Elephas maximus indicus: one gene and its partner. The protein of the gene in region 1 purifies or fractionates together with the protein of each later gene. This does not show direct contact. Links are inferred from orthologs where the notes say so. Each region holds a gene or a part of one and is shown on either strand. Other genes may lie near its edges.

Region 1 (8,131 bases):
AAACAAATGGACAACAAAATGAACATCAGTGTGTAATAATGTGGAAAACCAACTGAGTAGAAACCAGCAGACTTCATTTATAATCTGGCCTTAGCACTCTAAATTTAGGGCAATTACTTGTTATCCCTAAGCCCCAGTTTCCAAATGTGTACAATGGTGATAGTATCACTTAACCTTGCCTAACTCACAGGTGAGGAAAATGGTAATGAATCCTATAAACCAAAAACAAAACCCGCTGCCGTTGAGTTGATTCCGACTCATAGCGACCCTATAGGACAGTAGAACTGGCCCATAGAGTTTCCAAGGAGCACCTGGCAGATTCGAACTGCTGACCTCTTGATTAGCAGCCATAGCACTTAACTACTACACCACCTGGGTTTCCAGAGAATCCTATACATGTACAATATTATCATACCTAAGTGTTAGACAATGTAGTTCAGATTATACATGGTATCGGAATTCAGAAAAGAAAAGAGTTCTGTGTGGGTTGGTGTACTCTGATTTTAAAAATAATTTTACATAAGCCAAGAAATATGAAACGCAGCATACAACCAAACTGAGAGTTGTACCACCTAATTTTGATAAGCAATCTTTGGGAAATGCCTTCTCTATAGTATCAAAATATTTTGCAAAGCGACAAAATGAAAAACGAATGGCAAGTATTTTTCTCATTTTATAGTTGGAGAAAATAAGCCCCAAAAGGCTACTGTTTTCAGCATTCTTGCCTACCCACACAGTTTCTTCAGGAAATGAATAGTAGGAAAAAGTCCTTATACAATTCCAAAGCTCCCATCATAAAAGTGTTTATGCCAGAAAAAACCATGGGGAAAATCAGAGTTGACTGCAATTATTTCCTATCATTTTTCAAGAACTAACTCAAATTCATCTTTCTTCTAAACCACATTGATCTTTCCTTTCTCTGAATGCCCTTAGGAATCACTGCTGAAATCATTAATTTAAAAACTAATACTGACTAGTGATACTTCTTTTATCATACAAAATCACCTTGTAATATGCATTTCCTTGTTTCCTTAATGTTTTGGACTAATCTATGTCTAATATGTTGTACACAAATAGGCTTAAAGCACATTTTACTTTTCAAAATTATTTCACATACATTGTCATGATAAAACAGAAGATTTGTAAAGATACTGACTTGGTTATTCTACTTAAAAACAGCTTCTAAATAATTTGCTTATCAAAAGGCTCAGTATTCAAAATAACGGACAAATTTATTCTCAAACAAAACAAATTTACTCCTTTGAAAGACTAGTTTACAAACAGAACTTCTACAAACTAATCATCTAATTTCATTAAGTAATTTCACTTGAGGAACAATCCATACAATAGATGTTTAATAAACCACTTTCAGGACTCTCTTCTTCAGGAAGACTAGAACACACAAGTGAAGTCCATCAGAGGTCATTCTACCTTTCCAGCCTGACAATCAGATGCCTGCTGAGGCAGCAGCTGTGAACACATTTTTTGCCTTTGTTCATACATACACTTTAAGAAACCTTGGATTTAATAATTTTTCTTTCTTTAAACCCAAGATGAACTGTCAGCTGCTCTCAAAGTTTTCTCTAAATCTCTACAACCAGAAAGAATCTTTTTCCTCTGGATTACCTGAGCACAATCTCTTCTTGCTCTGCATTACCTGAGAAGTTTGATTGTAGTTTTCATATAACACTTCATGTAATTATTGGTACACATATCCGAATCCCTTATTAAACTGTAACTTCTTTTAAGATTATACACCTAATAATCTTAGGATAGGGGTTGTTTCTCACTCTTCTTTGCATTCCCCCAGCACCTAGTACTGTAACGTACACATAGGTATCCAAAACCTGTCTGTCAAACCAACAATTAAATCATCTCTGAGACAAAGCAAAATGCTTTTTCAACAGTAGCACGTCTATGATCAGTCATGAAAACACACACTTAGATTTCTCATGTCAACGACCAAAATCTTTTTTGAAGTATTTGAGTATACACTGTAGGAGACAGTATAGTACAGCAAATATGGGCAAAAGGTCTGGAGTCACACCACATAAGTTTGAACCCTGGTTCTGCCATTCGTGACCTTGGGCAAGTTTCTTAACCTCTGTGCCTCAGAACTAACATCTGTAAAGTGGGGATGTAATAGTGCTTATCTCAAAAGGTTAAACGAATTAGTAAATCATTTTAAGCACATACATAATAAGTGCTTAGTAGTAGTATTGTTGTTGGATGTTATAGACTCGATTGCGACTCAAGCGACGCTATGTACAACCGACGAAACGCTGCCCGGTCCAGCACCTATAAATTACTACCAAGTATTTATCACTCTCCTGGGCGTTCGCACGTAATTTACCTCATTCACTCAATCCTCACAGCAATCTTGTGAGGCTGGTAATACTAATCTGATTTTACGGATTAGAAAATCTGGGCACTGTAAAGTAACTTGTACAAAGTCACAAAGCAAGAAAGCGACGGGGGCTGGAATCGTGTCTTCTAATTCTATTAACTACTAAAACATAAAGAAAACTTGGCAGCCAGTGCCCAGGAAAACTAGAAAAGGAGCATAAGAGCTGAGCCAAGGGAAGAGACAGCGGAAGAAAAGAAAATACTAAGCTTCTGGTCCCACAGTCTCACTCTCCCCAGGATTCCACGAAACTAATCTCACTGGTAGCGACAACAGGAAACTTACCAGGGGAGCCTAGTGCTGGGCAGCGGTTTAAGCACTTACAAACTAAACTCTCTTAGGCAACTCTCTCCTAGCAAGTATTTAGCGAAGGCCAGTGCACTGAGCACTGACCTAGGAGCCCTGGGAGGAATGGCTAGCAAGGTCGTAAGCTTGTCTGTCTCCTCAGCTCTAAAAGATAAGTGGATGGCAGGCCAGGGCGGGTCCTAACTTCCAGACGTCCCTGGTACCCCAACCCCCCGCCCCCGAACTCCCTTCTCTGCCCCAACACCCAGGCCCGGCCGGGCCTCCCCTGCTTCCTCTCACCGTCCTTCATCTGGACAATATTGCTGGCGGCCACCCGGTCGGAGGCGACCAGGACGTAGTCGGGGCCCTGGATGCCTATGAGGTACTCCATAGTGGCGGGAGGCCGGAGGCTGCAGGTTCTACAGAACGCACGTCTCGCTGGCTTCTCGGCCTCACCGGTGAGACAGCACAGCAGGTCACAGCTTCACGCGACGTAGGCCGCGCTACCGCCCCGGTCACCGGCGCTCTCGGATGACGTACAACTGTCGCGAGAGGTCGGAAAGCGAGTGTGGTGCTAGGTGTGTTAAATCTGCGTTTGCCTCTTGCCCTGACGGTGTCTCTTCCAGTAATGGCTCTGTAAGTTACTTTGTGCAACGCCCTATTTCCTTATCCGTAACCCCCCTGAGGGGGAAGTTACACACCATATATGAAGTGCCAACCACTTATGGGTGCCCTAAAGCGATGGTCCCAGGTGGCCGTTTCCCCTTGTTACCCGGTAAAACCTTTCCAAAAATCTCTTACCCGAAAGACGAATTGGAGAAAAAGTGAGAGGATTCCCTACTGAAACCTTGGTGGAGTAGTGGTTAAGAGCCATGGCTGCTAATCGAAAGGTTGGCAGGTCGACGGGATGCAGACCCCAAATTCTCGTTAAGACCAGACTTAATGGTCTGACACTAGAAGGACCCTGGTGGTCATGTCCCCCAGACCTTCTGTTGGCCCAGGACAGGAACTCTTCCCAAAGCCAACTCTTCAGACATGGATTGGACTGGACAATGGGTTGGAGAGGGATTCTGGTGAGGAGCGACCTTCTTGGATCAGGTGGATTCTTGAGACTATGTTGGCATCTCCTGCCTGGAGGGGAGATGAGAGGGTGGAGGGGGTTAGAAGCTGGCGAAAAGGACACGAAAAGAGAGAGTGGAGGGAGAGAGCAGGCTGTCTCATTAGGGAGAGAGTAATTGGGAGTGTATAGCAAGGTGTATATAAATTTTTGTGTGAGAGACTGAGTTGATTTGTAAACTTTCACTTAAAGCACAATGAAAATTATTAAAAAAAAAAAAAAAAAAGGTTGGCAGGTCGAATCCACCAGGTGCTCCCTGGAAACCCTGTGGGGCAGCTCTACCCTGTGCTGTAGGGCCGCTATGAATCCGAATCGACGACAACGGGTTTGAGGGTTTTTTTTGTTTGTTTGTTTTTATTAAAGACGCAGCATGAAGGTGAATCATAAAAACAGCGGGAAAAAAATAGAATATTTTGATAGTCTTCGGAAGGGACACGTGCTTATGACAGGAAACCCAGAAGCAAGTTGGGGGGGGAAGAGGGGGGACAGAACCAAAACCAAACCAGTTGCCCTTAAGTTCATTCTGACCCATGTGTATCAGAATAGAACTGGGTTCCATAGTGTTTTCAGTGACTGATTTTTGGAAGTAGATCACTAGGCCTTTCTTTGGAGGAGCCTTTGGGTGGACTCAAACCACCAACCTTTTGGTTAGCAGCTGAGCACAAAACCATTTGTGCCACCCAGGGACCCCCATATAGAAAAAGACTGGCAGGTATGACTATATAAAATTGCAAGTTTCAGTGGCATGAAAAGGAAACCCTAGTGGTGTAGTGGTTAAGAACTACAGCTGCTAACCAAAAGGTCAGCAGTTCAAATCCACCAGGCACTCCTTGGAAACCCTATGGGGCAGCTCTGCTCTGTCCTATAGGGTTGCTATGAGTCGAAATCGACTCGATGGCAGTTGGTTTGGTTTTTTGTTTTGGTGTGGTGAAAGTCACCATACTGTTCAAAGATAAGTATAAAATGATAATTTTTTCAATATATGAAGTAGTTAACATCTGTAACTTTAAAAAGTTTCTACAAATCAATAGTGGAAAGAACATAATTTTTAAATGGCCAAAGTTAAGAACATGCAGTTCGCAAAAGAAGCCATACAAATGGCCAAGAAACATGAAGAGATCCTTAGCCTTGATGGAGATTAGGAAAATGAGAAATTTAAAATCACCAGTGAGATTATGAATTGTCATGGCCCTTTTACAGAGAACAATTTGATAATATACATTAAAATGTAAGTGTATATAAGCTTTTAAATGTGTCCTAAAGAAATATTTGCATAAATACCAAAATATTTGTTAAGAGATATCCATTGCAGCATTGAAACAGCAAAAAAAAAAAAAAAAAAAAGGAACCAACATACATGTCCATAAGTAGAGGAACTGTTATATAAATTATGGTACACTCATGCAGTGGAATATTATGCAGCCACTAAAAAGAATGAAATGAACCTAAATATATTAATATATTCCACATGGCCCAAAATATGTTAAGTGAAAGTGAAAATGCATTCCAATATGTAGCATGATGCCATTTTGTAAAAAATATTAAATAGAATTAGAAAAAGATCTGGAAATAAACATGTCAAATTGTGTGCAGTGGTTACCTCTGGGGAGTGTGATTTGAAGGGAGGATTTTCACTTTGTATTTTATGCACATCTATATTATTTGAATGTTTTGCAACACTCATGTATTCATAATTTTTAATAGGTTAAAAAAAAAACTTTATATCTTGGAACCATTATATCTTGCAGCTGTTCTGGGAAACTGACATATTCTATGACTAGTTTCTGTCATCTCCAACAGAGTTTTCATACTAACTAAGAAATGAAAAAAAAAGTTGCAATTACATCTCGAAACACAACTATGCAGTTCATTTACCTCTGCAGAAATGTGTAGACCCTACTTCCTTTTGAATGTTTCTTCCAGTTCTCTGCCCATAAAGGAACATAGAGCCTGAGGAGTGTGGGGCAGCCCATCTATCATGAGATGGGTGCCATGGGCAAGTGACGTTATTAAGTCAACCACCCTACTAGAACACAGCTGCATCCATTATCCTATAAAGATCCTTTTCTTAAACACTACTGGGGAAGAAGCCTCTCTTGCTCCCTCTCTCTCTCGTTGTGTGTGTTTATGTGTGTGTTTTAATTACAAAAAGTACACAGTTGTATAGTATATGTGTATACACAGACACACACACACATAATACAAGAGTGAGAAGTTAAATACTCCCCTCCCACCAGAGATCTATATCCTTCCAGGCTTTTTCCTTTGTACATACCAATATTCATCCATTGAGCCATTCATTGATTCACAATAGTTGCAGAATTCTGAATTGGAAGATACACAATCTTAAAAAAAAAAAGACCCAGAGATCTTTTAAGCTGACTCTTCCGTCTTTCTCCCCAGGACTCTTTTTAAATTTCTTCTAGCTAAGTAACACTACAGCTGTCCTAACTTTGTGTTAGTATAGAAGAAAGTGGGTTTTTAAGACCTAACATGTGCTATGTCTCACTAAAAAATCAGGGAGAACCCCACTTCAATTTAAGTCTTAGAATAACTAAGTCATAAAACTAGCAAAAAGTCTGTGAAGGTTCAGAGATGCTAGAATGTCTATCGGAAATTGTGGAGGAAGGAGTAAAAGGCACTAAAGTGGGCAGGCTAAAATTGGTCTACTCAGTAAGTTCAGAAAATGCACTAGCTAATCAAATGCTTTGGGAAGACACATTTAAAGAAAATACAAGTAAGGGGAAACTAGTATCATTGAAAAACTCAGTAGTGGCTGCCATCTGTCAGGTGGATCTGACAGTAGGAAATGCTTTACAGAATGGGTCTCCCTATTACCAGTGGAAATGACAGGATCCTAAAATAGCAGTGGCCAGCACTTAGCCATCAGAAGCAAGACAGGTGTAATTACCTCAATGATCATCAAGGTCAGAATGTCAGCCAGGGGACTTTGACCTGCAGAAACCTATGGAAATGGCACAAAGAACATAGTTTTCCTAGAGGTAAGGTAGATGGGCAGCCAACAAGGGTATTACTTAGTATATCTACTTAAGAACAGATGAGAGGATGGAGGCCAGCCACCCCAATAGAAAGTTACAATCCCTTGCCAAGTTTCTAGACCTGAGTGAGTTTCAGACCCAGAATCTGTTGACTAAAAATGTGCTGGTTCCCCAGGTGGAAGGACTCTACAATACCAAGACAAGTGTATATAGCAGTGATTCCCTCAGTCATTCCCTGAGGGGGTTTATGGTAATTTATTCAGGTAGCCATATGCTGGGGGAAAGGGCATGCCCAGATTTTTCAAGAGCTGTTGGGTACAAGACCTGGGTCTTGTTATACCTGAGGACCCAAAGTGCCATCGTGGCTCCCCTCTTATTGGGGGCCAGGTAAGAAATAAAGTCCTAGTCCAGTCCATATCGCAGTGGATCCATTGGGTTGATTCACCCAATGGTCACTTCCCTGATTCTTAAGTGTATAATTAGAATGGACATAGTTAACAGTTGGCAGAACTGTCACATAAAATCCTTGACCTTTACAGCAAAAGACATTGTAGTAGGAAAGGCCAAATGGAAGCTCCTGAGACTGCCCCCATTCTTAACCACTAGGGTATATAAGAAATAACCAAAACCAAACCAAACCTAGTGCCGTTGAGTCGATTCCGACTCATAGCGACCCTACAGGACAGAGTAGGACTGCCCATTAGAGTTTCCAAGGAGCGCCTGGCGGATTTGAACTGCCAACCCTTTGGTTAGCAGCCGTAGCACTTAACCACTATGCCACCAGGGTTTCCGTATAAGAAATACCACATAGAAAATATCTAAAATGGAACACGACTGGAAAAAATGAGCAGAACACCAATGAAATGTGGGTCGAGGTCAAGTAGCCTAATATATGTGTAATTGAAGTTCCCGAAGGAGGGAGGAAGACAAAAAAATTTAATAATGAGAAAAAAGTTTCCAAATTGAATGAAAAATAGAAACCCATAGATCCAAGAAGTTAAACGAACCCCAAGCACAGGAAACACAAAGAAAACTACACTGAGACACATTACAAATTACTTAAAATCAATATTAAAGAGAAAATCCTAAAAGCAGCCAGAGAAAAAAGCCACTTCATTTACAGGGGATCAAAGATATGAATAACATCAAACTTCTTGTGAGAAACAGTAAAACCCAGAAGACAGTGGAAAACATCTTTAAAGTACTGAAAAAAAAATTAACTTAAAATTCTATTTTCTTTTTCAACAGACTTTTTCAGTCATACAAATCTGAAAAATTCATCACTGAAAGACCTACATATAAGAAATATTAAAGTTCTTCAAGTAG
Region 2 (7,142 bases), on another chromosome or scaffold:
TGTAACACCACTATTGGAAAGCATCATATTTATCTACTTCTCTCTGTCTTCCCTACCCCAGCACTAGAATTTAAGTTTCATAAGATCAGAATCTTGTCTGCCCAGTTCAACACAGTATCGCCAGCACCTGGCAAATAGTAGGTACTCTTAAGTATTTGTGGAATAAAAATACGACCACCAAAAAGTTAATTGGGAATACTATGGTAAGACTGGAACCAGGGTTGCCTGTCCGACGTCCATGCAGGACAGCTAGCATACTTTGGTTCCAAAACCTAGACCCATGTCCTTCATGCATATTCATAACCATAAAAGTTAGACGAGCGTATGTAGTTGACAGAGTACAAATGTATCCCCTCGACCAGATGATGACAAGTTGCAACCCTCCTACTGAGAACGTGTTGTCTTTTATACAGAAGACAGCAGAAAACCAAAAACTCACTGCTAAACCAATTAAGAGCTCAAATAAACCTTAGGCAACGCATTTGCATTGTTTCTGCATCACAGATTATCTGACTTTGTAAGGATAACCATCTTTTCATCACAGGGTGGTGAGGAATTAACAAAACCATTGTAAAAGGTTTTGTAAGACCATTTACACTCAGGAATGCTGATTTCATTAACTTTTTGAGACATTAACAAAGGATAAAGTCCTTTGACAATCACATTGTATTTTCTTATTTACAATGCTGCACTTTCCAAAGTGCTCAAAACAATTCATTTGTTTTCCTTTTGACTGTAAGTACATTTTTTTCTCACCAATTAAAAAGTCTTTGGTAGAGAAATTACTGAAATAGAAACGACCCCTGCTTCTCAAAAAAAAAGTAGCTCTGCTTCTGTTTTCAAAGTGTTTTTGATAAAATGTTGAAACTCTGCCAGCTGCCCAAAAAACACCATCCCAGCTTTGGCAGAAAAAGGAAAAACATCTCAAGTGAACTATATTTGTTTCTGGATCATTTGTCACAGCAAAAGGTTTTTTTTTTTTTTAACAGTATCAAGTACAAATATCTATTTGTAGAAAAGGCAAAGAACTGTCTGCTTAATAAAGAACATCGGCCTCTTCACCCTTTAAAAAAGGGAAGAGCTATTTCTAAAACAAAAAATGCAGTTTTCTAGGAAGAGGGTTTAAAAGGGTTGTTTTCTGAAACTGTTCTGTTTTCTGAACTTAAATTTTAAGTTCATCAAAAAATGAAATCCTAGAAACTCCCAAGCTTTTTCAAAATACTTTTATGACAATCCCAAATCCACTCGCTCAGTAAAGACACTTTAAAATAACAATGTGCTATGTACACCTTTTAAAACTACCCATTTACTAGAAAATGAACAGACTTTCAGAAGGATGAATTCACTTTTGTAAGGTGCAACTTAAATTCCTTTCTGTAAATCAGCCTCCACTGTAAAAAACAAACCTGAAAGAGAAATGAACTTCAGCTCTTGGCAAATAAGAGTCATATTGGGGCAAACAAGTCATATTGGGTTTCACATTCTTTTAAGATTATCCTGCCTAATTAAAAACTAATAATAAAAATATATATACATATGAAAATGCCTTGAAAAGAAGTTAATTTTGAAATGAGGGCAGTAAGCAAAACACTTAGGTTTAAGGCAAAGAAAATAATGATGGGCACATAACTGAAGAGAAATTATGTTCATACCTCTTTTTAAAAAAAAAAAATTGGGAGGAAAACATGCTTACTTTTAATGTAATAATGTCTTAACCTTAAAAAGGGAAGAGTGAGAAGATCATAATATGGCCCCACTTTACGGAACTCCCTAAAAACAAATTGGAAGCTTACAACAGTCTTATGAAAGGAACCATTTCAATTAACAAGGTTGTCTCTTGAAAAATTCACCTAAAACGTCCCCCAGGGAACGACTTTATTTTGTCTTAGCTCAAATTTCAAGTTCATTACCTCAATATTTGAAAAGAATCACCTTTATTTTGTCCTCTATTCCCAGATTATTGTCCCAGAAAACACCTTCTATGGAAACAAAACAGCCTCATCAGTAGCCCCATAAATTAACAGAATTTAACGCTTTACCTCTCAACTTCACTGTCCTAACACTGCCAAGTTCCCCAGGGTCATTATAAGGCCCTAAGTTTTAACACTTTATTGCCCAGGACAATACAATGATGTCAAGCACCTCTACAGAGTGTACTTTGTGAAAATTTGCAGCGAGGTAAGTGCAAGTGCTCACCAAGGGGCCTGGCACAGAAACTCAAGGTAGTCTTAAAATGACTGCAGCCTGACAGCAGCCGCACCAGTTAAGGGTGGCTTCGGGTGGAGAGCAGGTTTGTAACTTCTAGTATTCCCAAACCTTTCACTGAAATATTGAACAGGTGCAGAAAGTGAACTTAAACCCCTAGAGTCTGGAAATGTTTAAGCCATGCCAAGCTCATCAGTTCCAACTTTAAATTTAAAAATCCTGTGAGTTCTGCGTGCTATCCTATCCGTGGTTTCGTTTGCCATAAAATCGGAGTCGGTTACTTACCCTGCGGGGGATCGGAGCCCCCGGGACGCTGCGCCATGGGTCCTCGCAGCTGGGACAACCGCAAAAGCAGCCGCAGCTCCCCACTCCCAACCCGACGCGCCACCCGGACACTGGCCCCGAGCCCGCCCTAGTTCCAGCCCCAGAAGCGCTCCCGAACGGCGACGCCCCCAGAACGCAGAGCCCTCACGTGACGCCCGGGGCGTCTCTGCACCCTGGCGGAGCGCTCAGTGACGCCGGTGCCAACAGGCGACCCCAACCTCACGGCGCCCCACATGGGGACCCACGCTCCCGAGAGCGCACAGTCGCACGCAAACACCCGACTTACACCCTCACTTCTCCTACCGTACACCCCCAACGCCCGCGGCCGGGCTGCACCCCCAGCCGCCCCCGCGTACCTGTACCCCCAAGTGGGCAACAAGGCCTGGCCCAGATGCGCGCGCAGCTGCCCCAGCGTCGGCTCCGCTTCCGACATCTCCAGCGGCCAGGTCCGCTTCTGAAGCCGGACCCGAAGCTTCATGGCCGCGGCGGGGGTACCCAGGGGCTCGGACCCGGGGGCGGCGACAGTGGCGACGGCGGGGCCCAGCAGCTCCCGCCTCAAGCGGAGACCCAGGAGCGACAACTACCGGTGTTGTTAAAGTGCTGATGTGTAACGGGTAAAAGTCGCCGCCACGGCGGCCTAGGCCTAGCTCGCTAGTCCCTAAAACAAGGGCGCTCTGTCCCTCCTATAAGGGCGCCCCCTAGAGCCGACCCGCAGAGCGAGCAGCTGGCGACCAGCGCCGAGCCCAGCTGCAAAGGACCTTCCGATCGATGACTCGGCGCGCTACGCCGCTACCTGGGAGCGCGCGGCTTCCGGGCCGCCCGGGCGCCGCGGTCCAAGCTGACGGCGCGGAAGGAGGAGCGCGCTGCGCAGGCGCCCAGACGTCGGGGTGCGCTGGTACCCCGGCTCTTCCGCAGAGGCTGCTTTCTGACGTCTGAAAGGTGTGCTGGGAAGAACGTTATTGCTGAAAGGGATGCTGCGGACCGTACAACTCACCACGCCCCATGGCTTATGGGTACCTAGTTCTTACCCATTTCCTGCGTGGCGAACGACTGTTCCTTCATCAACGCCCAGTTCTAGTGGCACCTGCTCTGAGAAGCCCTTAGATTGAACCCCGGCTCCGGTAACTTCCTCCTTTTGTGCTTCCGCAGGGCTGTGTTCAAAAAGAATTAAGGGGAATAATGTATGGCAAACCACTGAGTATTGTCATAATTGGTCTCCCCAGTTACTGTGTTACATCACGCAGTTTCCTTCTTAGAGTTCATCAAAATCTGAATTTTTCTTTTTAATTGAAAATTAACTAATTGTTATTGTAACAGTTACTAATTGTTCGCCTACCACAGGCGAAGCTCCTGCCTGTAAGATCAAGGATCAAGTCTATCTTGTTCACCACGCGTACGTTGTTGTTGTTGTTTGTAGGTGCCCTGGAGTCGATTCCGACTCATAGCGACCCCTGTGCACAACAGAACGAAACACTGCCCAGTCCTGCACCATCCTTACAATCCTTGTTATCCTTGAGCCCATTGTTGCAGCCACTGTGTCAGTCCACCTCGTTGAGAGTCTCCTCTTTTCCGCTGACCCTGTACTTTGCCAAGCATGATGTCCTTCTCCAGGGACTGATCCCTCCTGACAACATGTCCAAAGTATGTAAGACGCAGTCTCGCCATCCTTGCCTCTAAGGAGCATTCTGGCCGCACTTCTTCCAGGACAGCTTTGTTCGTTCTCCTGACAGTCCATGGTATATTCAATATTCTTCGCCAACACCACAATTCAAAGGCATCAGTTCTTGGTCTTCCTTATTCATTGTCCAGCTTTCACATGCATATGATGCGATATGAAAATACCATGGCTTGGGTCAGGCCCACCTTAGTCTTCAAGGTGACATTTTTGCTCGTCAACACTTTAAAGAGGTCCTTTGCAGCAGATTTACCCAATGCAATGTGTCTTTTGATTTCTTGACTTCTGCTTCCATGGCTGTTGATTGTGGATCCAAGTAAAATGAAATCCTTGACAACTTCAACCTTTTCTCCGTTTATCATGATGTTGTTCATTGGTGCAGTTGTGAGGGTTTTTGTTTTCTTTATGTTGAGGTGTAATTCATACTGAAGGCTGTGGTCTTTGATCTTCATCAGTAAGTGCTTCAAGTCCTCTTCACTTTCAGCAAGCAAGGTTGTGTCATCTGCATAACTCAGGTTGTTAGTGAGTCTTCCTCCAATCCTGATGCCCTGTTCTTCATATAGTCCAGCTTCTCGGATTATTTGCTCAGCATACAGATTAAATAGGTCTGGTGAAAGAATACAACCCTGACGCACACCCTTCCTGACTTTAAACCAATCAGTATCCCCTTTTTCTGTCCCAACAACTGCCTCTTGATCTAAGTAAAGGTTCCTCATGAGCACAATTAAGTGTTCTGGAATTCCCATTTGTCGCAATGTTATCCATAATTTGTTATGATCCACACAATCGAATGCCTTTGCATAGTCAATAAAACACAAGTAAGCATCCTTCTGGTATTCTCTGCTTTCAGCCAGGATCCATCTGACATCAGCAATGACATCCCTGGTTCCACGTCCTCTTCTGAAACTGGCCTCAATTTCTGGCAGTTCCCTGTCGATATACTGCTACAGCTGCTTTTGAATGATCTTCAGCAAAAAATTTTGCTTGCCTGGGATATTAATGATATTGTTCTATAATTTCCACATTCAGTTGGATCACCTTTCTTGGGAATAGGCATAAATATGGATCTGTTCCAGTCAGTTGGCCAGGAAGCTGTCTTCCATATTTCTTGGTATAGACGAGTGGCCACCTCCAGCGCTGCATCTGTTTGTTGAAACATCTCAACTGATATTCCATCAATTCCTGGAGCCTTGTTTTTCACCAATGCCTTCAGAGCAGCTTGGACTTCTTCCTTCAGTACCATCAGTTCCTGATCATGTGCTACCTCTTGAAATGGTTGAACATCGACTAATTCTTTTTGGTATAATGACTCTGTGTATTCCTTCCATCTTCTTTTGATGCTTCCCATGTCGTTTAATATTTTCCCCATGGAATCCTTCACTATTGCAACTCAAGGCTTGAATTTCTTCTTCAGTTCTTTCAGCTTGAGAAACACCGAGCGTGTTCTTCCCTTTCGGTTTTCCATTTCCAGCTCTTTGCACACGTTATTATAATACTTTACTTTGTCTTCTCAAGCCACCCTTTGAAATCTTCTGTTCAGTTCTTTTACTTCATCACTTCTTCCTTTTGCTTTAGCTGCTCAACATTCAAGAGCAAGTTTCAGAGTCTCCTCTGACATCCGCCTTGGTCTTTTCTTTCTTTCCTATCTTCTCAATGACCTGTAGCTTTCTTCATGTATAATTTCCTTGATGTCATTCCACAACTTGTCTGGTCCTCAGTCACAGTTGTTCAGTGCATCAAATCAATTCTTCAGATGGTCTCTAAATTCAGGTGGGATATACTCAAAGTCGTATTTTGCCTATCGTGGACTTGCTCTGATTTTCTTTAGTTTCAGCTTGAACTTGCATATGAGCAATTGATGGTCTGTTCCACAGTCGGCCCCAGCCTTGTTCTGACTGACGATATTGAGCTTTTTCATCGTCTCTTTCCACAGATGTAGTCATTTTGATTTCTGTGTGTTCCATCTGGCAAGGTCCATGTGTACAGTCGCCGTTTATGTTGGTGAAAGAAGGTATTTGCAATGAAGAAGTTGTTGGTCTTGCAAAATTCTGTCATTCAATCTCCAGCATCATTTCTGTCCTCAAGGCCATATTTTCCAACTACTGATCCTCCTTCTTTGTTTCCAACTTTCGCATTAAAATCACCAGTAATTATCAATGCATCTTGATTGCATGTTCGATCAATTTCAGACTGCAGCAGCTGATAAAAATCTTCTATTTCTTCATCTTTGTCTCTAGTGGTTGGTGCGTATATTTGAATAACAGTCCTGTGAACGGGTCTTCCTTGTAGGTGTATGGATATTATCCTATCACTGACAGCATTGTACTTCAGGATAGATCTTGAAATGTTCTTTTTGACGATGAATGAAATGGAACGCATAAACATCGATATTCTAGGCATTAGTGAACTGGGATGGACTGGTATTGGCCATTTTGAATCGGACACCTGTACATATTATGCCATAAATAAATATAAATAAATAAACATTTGTGGTGCATGTGATAAGTGCTAACAGCAGGAGTATGTACATGATATGGAGTTGATTAACTGGGAGTGACACTTAAACTGCATTTTAAAGTATAACTAGGAATTTCCCAAGCTTAACAAAAGCAGGATTGAGCAATAGAGAGAGAAGAGTATACAAAGGTGGGGAAAGGTTAAATGGCATGCATATTCAGGGTAGCAGTAAGTTACAGAGCTGAAGACTTATGGGCTATTGAGAACGCTGTGTTGTAATTGTTGGGATTACTTGCTACTCAATACATTGTAGGTGCCTGAGATTGGAGACTGAATCTCAGCCCTGAGACAGCATCTGGGCTTGGAAGATGCTCAATAAATGCGTTCTAAATGAAGGAAAGAATTAATGAATGAACCCAATGGTTCTTAGGACTTTGTGCGAAGGAAATTAATCATCTAGAGCTTATGTGAAAGGACAACA

Evidence for each region.
Region 2: the proteins of PSMB2 (region 1) and FBXO7 purify together in Homo sapiens (affinity purification with mass spectrometry; 3 studies listed by BioGRID and IntAct, counting the BioPlex papers as one, with this or other methods). This does not show direct contact. The link is inferred for Elephas maximus indicus from reciprocal best matches to the Homo sapiens genes PSMB2 and FBXO7.

What each region holds. Positions count from the first base shown.
Region 1 is NC_064821.1:76,947,445-76,955,575, forward strand, and holds the start of PSMB2 (proteasome subunit beta type-2), read right to left. Parts: upstream 3,224-8,131; 5' UTR 3,081-3,223; coding exon 2,990-3,080; intron 1-2,989. UniProt on the Homo sapiens protein: Non-catalytic component of the 20S core proteasome complex involved in the proteolytic degradation of most intracellular proteins. This complex plays numerous essential roles within the cell by associating with different regulatory particles.
Region 2 is NC_064822.1:175,191,184-175,198,325, reverse strand, and holds the start of FBXO7 (F-box only protein 7), read right to left. Parts: upstream 3,251-7,142; 5' UTR 3,008-3,250; coding exon 2,886-3,007; intron 2,606-2,885; exon of another isoform or gene 2,528-2,605; coding exon of another isoform or gene 2,491-2,527; intron 1-2,490. UniProt on the Homo sapiens protein: Substrate recognition component of a SCF (SKP1-CUL1-F-box protein) E3 ubiquitin-protein ligase complex which mediates the ubiquitination and subsequent proteasomal degradation of target proteins and plays a role in several biological processes such as cell cycle, cell proliferation, or maintenance of chromosome stability.